Linked DNA regions of Danio rerio. The protein of the gene in region 1 interacts with the protein of each later gene in a biochemical or structural test. Links are inferred from orthologs where the notes say so. Each region holds a gene or a part of one and is shown in the gene's direction. Other genes may lie near its edges.

The links. The genes of interacting proteins can lie anywhere in the genome.
Region 2: the proteins of ntrk2a (region 1) and bdnf form a complex in vitro, tested with the Homo sapiens proteins (3 studies listed by BioGRID). The link is inferred for Danio rerio from reciprocal best matches to the Homo sapiens genes NTRK2 and BDNF.

What each region holds. Positions count from the first base shown.
Region 1 is NC_133183.1:59,551,809-59,555,916, forward strand, and holds the start of ntrk2a (BDNF/NT-3 growth factors receptor precursor), read left to right. Parts: upstream 1-1,260; 5' UTR 1,261-1,530; coding exon 1,531-1,721; intron 1,722-4,108. UniProt on the Homo sapiens protein: Receptor tyrosine kinase involved in the development and the maturation of the central and the peripheral nervous systems through regulation of neuron survival, proliferation, migration, differentiation, and synapse formation and plasticity.
Region 2 is NC_133182.1:31,986,198-31,990,525, reverse strand, and holds the start of bdnf (brain-derived neurotrophic factor isoform 1 precursor), read left to right. Parts: upstream 1-1,506; 5' UTR 1,507-1,889; coding exon 1,890-1,892; intron 1,893-2,607; exon of another isoform or gene 2,608-2,977; intron 2,978-3,548; exon of another isoform or gene 3,549-3,955; intron 3,956-4,164; exon of another isoform or gene 4,165-4,328. UniProt on the Homo sapiens protein: Important signaling molecule that activates signaling cascades downstream of NTRK2. During development, promotes the survival and differentiation of selected neuronal populations of the peripheral and central nervous systems.

The sequences.
Region 1 (4,108 bases):
ATAAGTACAATGATAATAATCATATTATTATTAATAATAATAAGTAATAAAACATAAATAATAATAATATTAATAATATTAAGTTCTAACACTTATAGGTAACAATAATATTAACATTAATAATAATAATAATAAGTACTAATACAGATAAGTAATAATAATGATAATAAAAAATAACACTTAGAAGTAATAATAATATTAAGATCAATGATGATAATAATAATAAAAATAATATGTAATACATATAAATAATAATAATATTAATAATATTAGGTTATAGCACTTTTAGATAATAATATTAACATTATTAATACTATTATTATTAGTTTAATACTTATATATATAAGTAATAATAATGATGATAATATTAATAAGTAATAATACTATTAACATATAATAATTATTATAATGATAAGTAATAATAATAATAATTATTATAATTTTTGGCGACGCAATGACACAGTAGGTAGTGCTGTCGCCTCACAGCAAGAAGGTCGCTGGTTCGAGCCTCGGCTGGGTCAGTTGGCATTTCTGTGTGGAGTTTGCATGTTCTCTCCGCATTCACAAGGGTTTCCTCCGGGTGCGGTTTCCCCCACTGTCCAAAGACATGCGGTACAGGTAAATTGGGTAGGCTAAAATTGTACGTAGTGTAAGAGTGTGAATGAGTGTAAATGGATGGTTTCCAGAGATGGGTTGCAGCTGGAAGGGCTGCATAAAACATATGCTTGATAAGTTACCAGTTCATTCCGCTGTGGCAACCCCAGATTAATAAAGGGACTAAGCCAAAAAGAAAATGAATGAATGAATTATAAATTTCAGAACAGAGTATAAATAAATAATAATTAAAATTAGGTTATCATAAGCTATCATCATCTTCATAAAACAAAATTTATTAAATTTATTAATTAGTTTAATAAATAAATAAATAAATAAATAAATAAATAAATAAATAAAAACATCCCAAAGGGAACCATTTCGCGTCATTTTAGCTGTAGTCAATTTTTCTGCCTTTGAACCTGAACGTTATTCTCCGACGACGAGTGAGTCAGTTCCACACAAACACACACAGAAAAACAACGAGCGCAACTCATTCCTCCATATACATGCATTCAAATAACCGTTCACCTCACGAAGCAGCAAACACAACAACAACTCTACCTAAACCACATGATCAGTGCTAATTAGTAACCACGAGATTCTCAAAAAAGCATCCTCACAGCACTGATACACTATAAAGAAAGCCTTGATCAGTGTAAGGATGTTGTCAGGCGGTCAATAACGCGTGTGAGTGAGTGAAGGATTGATTGATGTGTCCTGCTGGTCTCCTCCCCTCAGACGCGCGCATCATCCAGCGCGTCTCCAGAGCGCGTCTTCAGTCCGCATCCGAGCGTCATTCAGCGCAGCATCTCGGGCATTCGTTCTGTAGGAATATACGGTCACTCGCTGTTGCTTTTTCTGCTCCGGCTCTGCGCGTCTCCAGACTCCGGGTTTTTTTCGGGGGTCGTTAAATCTGGAGGTGAGGACCCGGGGATGAGCTTCGGCATGACGGGCTGCGGGTTCGGTTGGGCGGTGATGCTGCTCGCGCTCTGGAGGCCCGCGACCGCTTGTCCGGAGCTCTGCACGTGCACGGGTTTGCGGATCTCCTGCGTGGACGCGGAGCGCAGTATTATGGCTTTCCCCAAGCTGGAGTCCGAGGCGGACATGGAGAACGTCACTGACATGTAAGTCATGCTGGGGGTCATATACACTGAAACAAAAGCGATACATTGGATTTACTCCGGTTTTTTAACCGCGGTAAAGTTTGACATTCATTAGAAATTCGATTTCAAACCAATTAAATTATTTGCCCCTGCTATAGTTTGAGCCAAAAATATCTCAGATAGGTATAATTATGTGTCCTTTATGTTGCACAAGGCTTAATCGATAAAAAAGACCAATTAAACAATTCAACGAAATTATACAATAAAACCAGTAGCAAAATGTTCAGAAAAACACCCTGCTTATTGCACAAGACTCTGTTTTTTGCAATTAGCACTTTATTTATTTTATTATATTTTTAAAATAACTTTTAATGTAAAAATGGTAAAAGTTTTGTTTTTCACAGTTATGCCTTTGTTGATTTTATATACAGTACTGAATCCATATTTTCAGTAATTCGGATACACTGTAAACACTTAAATGAATTAAACACTGACACCATTTGAGATAAAAATATACAAATCAACTCTAAAATTGTCTAAATATTATTCCCTATGATGCACAAGCTTTGTTCTTTATTGTTATGCCTTTGTTGATTTTATATACAGTACTGAATCCATATTTTCAGTTATTCGGATACACTGTAAACACTTAAATGAATTAAACACTGACACAATTTGAGATTAAAAACACAAATCAACTCTAAAATTATCTAAATATTATTCCCTATGATACACAAGCTTTGTTCTTTATTGTTATGCCTTTGTTGATTTTATATACAGCACTGGATCCATATTTTCAGTAATTTGGATACACTGTAAACACTTAAATAAATTAAACGCTGACACCATTTGATATAAAAAAAACAAATCAACTCTAAAATGATCTAAATATTATCCTCTAGGATGCACAAGCTTTGCTTTTTACTGTTATGCCTTTGTTGATTTTATATACAGTACTGAATCCCTATATTCATTATATCGCTACACTGTAAATGATTAATCAAGACTAATAGTTTATAGCTTTGCTACTGTAAACGCATTTAATGAATAGTAATAGTTTATAGCTATGCTACTGTAAACGTATTTATTGAAGACTGATAGTTTATAGCTATGCTACTGTAAACGTATTTATTGAAGACTAATAGTTTATAGCTATGCTACTGTAAACGTATTTATTGTAGACTTATAGTTTATAGTTATGCTACTGTAAACGTATTTATTAAAGACTGATAGTTTATAGCTATGCTACTGTAAACATATTTATTAAAGACTAATAGTTTATAGCTATGCTACTGTAAGCGTATTTATTGTAGACTAATAGTTTATAGCTATGCTACTGTAAACGTATTTATTGAAGACTAATAGTTCATAGCTATGCTACTGTAAACGTATTTATTAAAGACTAATAGTTTATAGCTATGCTACTGTAAACGTATTAAAGACTGATAGTTTATAGCTATGCTACTGTAAACGTATTTATTAAAGACTGATAGTTTATAGCTATGCTACTGTAAACGTATTTATTAAAGACTGATAGTTTATAGCTATGCTACTGTAAACGTATTTATTAAAGACTGATAGTTTATAGCTATGCTACTGTAAACGTATTTATTGTAGACTAATAGTTTATAGCTATGCTGCTGTAAACGTAATTAATGAAGACTAATAGTTTATAGTTATGCTACTGTAAACGTATTTATTGAAGACTAATAGTTTATAGCTATGCTACTGTAAACATATTTATTGTAGACTAATAGTTTATAGCTATGCTACTGTAAACGTAATTAATGAAGACTAATAGTTTATAGCTATGCTACTGTAAACATATTTATTGTAGACTAATAGTTTATAGCTATGCTACTGTAAACGTAATTAATGAAGACTAATAGTTTATAGCCATTGCCTTTTATTGTGGTTCCAGCTGATTGGTGTGTCTACAGTTTTGCACCAGTGTGCCTGCACATCTGATGGCTGTGCTTAACCAATTGGCATCAGTCTTTGCTTTGAAATTGCAAGGAAATTTCATCATGAAAAATTTCTGTGTCAAATGCAAACAAGCGTGTTTAGTGATTTGCAATCTAAGCTGATCTAGCCTTGTGCTTTGCTCCTTGAGTGTACGGTTTTGGTTGTTGTGGCAAAAGTTAAACTTTAGTGTGTAAGCAATCATAAAAAAACTGTAAAATATGCAACAAAAGCTAATTTTACTTTCAAACAACACAACTTGCAAACAAGTATATGAGCTCTTTTAATCAATAGACAACAAAATGCAGAACTCAGTGTGAATCAGTGCATCTTTGCTTGTCCTTGTAGCCCATGCCGTTTGTTGTCTTTCTATTTGGGCTGTCAAATTTGCCTTTTTGCAAAGAACTGGATCCAGAATGTTGAATTCATGACATCAAACTGTGGCT
Region 2 (4,328 bases), on another chromosome or scaffold:
CATGCGATCATGGACAACTAGTACATGTTTGTCTGCAGTGCAGCAAGACCTGCAAGAGCAAAACGAGTTACGCAGGGATGAATGTGAGGCGGGAAGCTCAGTCACAAATGTACAAAATTTTTATAAATAAATAAAAACAAATGAATAAATACATATTTAACAGAATATATTGCCCAAGGTACTTTATGTCACCAAAACAGTATTGTATTGTTTTGTTTCAGCTTTAGTAAAGAAACAGCTGTCCATATCATCATAACTTATTCTGTACGTAAAGACACAGAAATTACATTAAAAGTGATTTTTAAAACTTTTGGGAAAACTAGGGGAATTACTTCTTAAACTTGGAATATATTCTAGAAAGACAGGCAGACATGAGAAATGCAGTTGTGTGTAATCAGTCTTTCTTAAACAAAAGCAAAGCCATGACGAGAAAAACTAAGACAAGAAAAAGAGCCAATCTGTTTGAATTAATGCCCTGCCTAATATGAAGGGATTAATTAATCCCACTATAAGATCCAAGTCAGTCAGATTTTGTTTGCTATGTTCATTGTTTAGGGCAATAATCAATGGAACAATGAATGAATGAATGAATGAATGAATGAATGAATGAATGAATGAATGAATGAATGAATGAATGAATGAATGAATGAATGAATGAATGAATGAATGAATGAACTTAGACTTATGGGAACACAATGTCTGTTGATGCTGACCAGAGGAGAGGTTTATCTGAGAAACAGGTCTGTTGACTGATCTTTTAAACTTTTTCTCCTTTTCTTTGCTTCCAGTTCGTTTGCTGTGCGTGTCGTCTGTGGTCCAAGCATACTGTTTACTGTTGCTGTGAGTTATAAATACAATAGCGTTTCATGTCTTTTACAACTATCGGGCTCGAACGAATCTTGGCTCATATGCGGGTAAATACCACCAATTACTCATGTTACTTTTCAGCACATTTGAACACATCCAAGCATAGCGCCTCGTCACTGCATAACAATTAGATTAGTGTTCGTGCTCTGATGGAATTTTACTGATAACAGAAACGGTCGTACTTGGATTTCGTGACTTCCATTCCCTACTTTAGGTCAAGATAAAGGCGTACGGGGGAAAATAACGTTGTCATTTATTTAAGTTGACATCGTGCCTCAAGACTGAGGAGGATTCAGCTTTTTTTTCCATTTGCTATAGTACACACATAACGAAGCTCAAAACTGTATTGCACAGATGTAAGTATGGTACTTAAAACAATGTTTTTCCTCTGTTTGGCTTTCAATAGCACAGCTTTGCAGCAGCAGCAACAAGTCTCCCGAGAACTTAGTCCTACTTGGCAGAAAATAAGATTGTGAAATCTTACCTGATCTCCCTCAGCTGGGAAAACAGCCAGATTGAAAATGTCGTGAACTGTAGGCTTCGCGTAATGTTGACATATCACGCGCAATGCACGCAGAGACGCGCGAAAAAAAAGTGCACATTGCTGTCTTGGATGCGCAACTTTTCTAATGGTCATTCATTTTCAGCCAGCGTCTCGGGGTAGTTGCTGGTCAGTTTAGTTCCCACCTAAACTTGACCGCCTTCGCTTATTTCAATCACGTAAGAGCACTAACGGCGTTTCTCTGAGCGAGGGCACTGCGTAAATCTGTATAGGGGTTTTGGGTAAATCGCGACTGGTTTCTATTTGTCCTCTCGGCACAGTCGCCAAGGTGTAAGAGAGTTTAAGCACGAGGATATTGCAAAGGGTTATTAGATTCATAAGTCACCCAAGTGGTGGGCGATCTTCTGAGCACGGCAGAAGTTCTCATATGATGACTTCAAACAAGACACATTACCTACCAGCATCTGTTGGAGTGTGTGGATATTAAGACACTTCTATCTCCAGGACAGCATAGGGGAAAATGGTAAGTTGCATGGAAATACTACACTTAAAGGAATAATTACTCCAAAAGGCATGGCTTGTGTTTACACTGACTGAAGGGTTGCTTTCAGAAGAACAGATTTTGATGATGCACGACATATACGAGTGCTCTCGTGCTTATGGACCCAAACGCTGAAGGCTACTTAATCGAGGGTTCGGCTTTGCTAACGTGAATGTAAAACTTTGTAATGCTGCTGTTTTCTGGGATTCGTAGATAGAGGGGGAAAATCCGAGTAAAGCAAACGCAGCCGTAGAGAATATACATTCTAATTGGTTTTGCCTTTGTTGCTCTGTGTGCCAATCTGCGCTTTGATGCCTGTTGGGCTTTTAGCCTTTATACTAAATGTCGTTTTTACAAGTGCTCAGTGAAAAAGGCAACATGTGTAGACATGTCCATCTGCCCTGCAGGACAAAAGCAGAGCACCAAGGCGCTATTACTGTGTGATTTGGGGACACGGGTTGCAAGCCTTTTGGGGGACCCCTCTTTAGAGGGTTATGAGCGACTTTTCAGATAAGTGATTCTTTTGTTAAGAAAACGACCGGCCAACATGTGATCAAATATTAACAGGACGGGCTTGCCAAGGATATATTCACGTGACAAGGCGTGGGGAAGCAATAGAGTAAAGCAATATCAAGTGGCACTTAACGAAAGTATAGATTTTTGCCTCTAAGTAACCTTAGCTGTGCTATGATTTCAGCACTTTGGACAGAGGCACCGGGAGTCGTTGAACGCTGCGGACTAACACGGAGTGAGTGGACTTCGCCTTTTGTGTTTTGCCAAAGCTAGGGATTGTTTCACTTTTTCCTTCTTTTTTGCTCTCGGAGGGAGACCCGTGAGAAAACAAAACAAACAAACAAACGCGAGGAAAAGCATCAGTCGATAGCGGGGCTGCTTACTTTGCGCTTGGAGTTTTGTCGCCACTTAGAGCATGTGAAAGTTGAAATCGTAGAGCTGCTAGTGTACTCGTACTTTGCAATCTCCACTTGGTGCACAGCGTTAACTTTGGGAAATGCAAGTGTTGGTCTTGGAGATCTAACCACTGATAGTGGTTGTCAGCTCTTATAAAGGTAAGACCTGTTTGTTTTATTCTCCACTTTACTAGCAGCCCCTTCTCGGGCAGATGTTTATCTATCTGTACATAGCGAAATTGATCCTCTTTTTGCATTTTAACTCTACGGACAGAGAAAATGTAACGCTGTGAGGAAAAGCTTTGGGTTGTGATGGGAGAGAGAAGACGTGAGTCATGAGGGAAATGTTAAACTTACGTTATCATTTTACATGTTCCTTCTACTTTGTCCGTATGCTTTTACACCATGACTATAGCAGAAAACGGTCAGAAAGTTGTTTCAATTACCAGTCACAGCTCTGTCACAAATTCACAGAAACGGACTAATGCTTTTTTCTATATCTACAGTTGCCACATTTAGCACATATTTAATATGAGTTGTCATTTTAAAGCAACACAAATAAATAGTACATGCAAGTGCGTAAAAGCTCACTTTCCGTCCTCATCATAATCAAATGCTTGCGGAATTCTTGTTGTATTTAATGCGCAATTGTCTAGCGCACGCTTTTCTTTGCTTGCTGAATAATGGGGCATGTCTTTAATAAAATATACGACTCAGCACGAGCTACCTCCTACTTATTGTCTTGCTGAGATCGAAAAGATCCTTATCTATCTATCTATCTATCTATCTATCTATCTATCTATCTATCTATCTATCTATCTATCTATCTATCTATCTATCTATCTATCTATCTATCTATCTATCTATCTATCGGTTTAGCTGTCATTCTCGTCATCCTTTCTGATCAGCTAAAATGTTGTTTTCGTTAGCATGGAGGGATAATTTATTCGTTGAATCGATCCTAAAGTGGTGCAACCAGCCTTATCAAACTAATCGCGTCTGTAGCATCTCCGCACTTCGTCATCGTGGACATATTGCTAGTGTTTTTACTACGGACCGCTTCTCCGTTTCATTCATCCCGAGATTTCCACTCCTCTCCTCCAGCATCACCTGCTCATCTCGCTCCCCAGCGCACAGGTCTGTCTGTGCACACGCCGAACAGTTGGGAACCACTTAGAGCTAAAAGCTTTCGCCACAGATAACATATCATGTTAAAGTATTTTGAATTGCCTCGCCAAAAATAGCCCGATGGCCAAAACAATGTGTGTGTGTGTGCGTGTGTGTGTTCATATATATTTCCAGTTAAAGTGAATAAGAATTTGGATAGGCGTGGTCAGATTTTGTTCAGACTGGGTTAGATGGAGCCACCGATAAGATTGCCTGATAAGGAAATGGCTGAGAGGGTGTCACGCGTATTGTGGAGAAAACTGAAGAAAAGCCGTGCAAGACTGAGACGAAATTAGGACAGTCAGCGTTTTAAAGGAGCCTTTCGCTGATGAATTTCTGACTT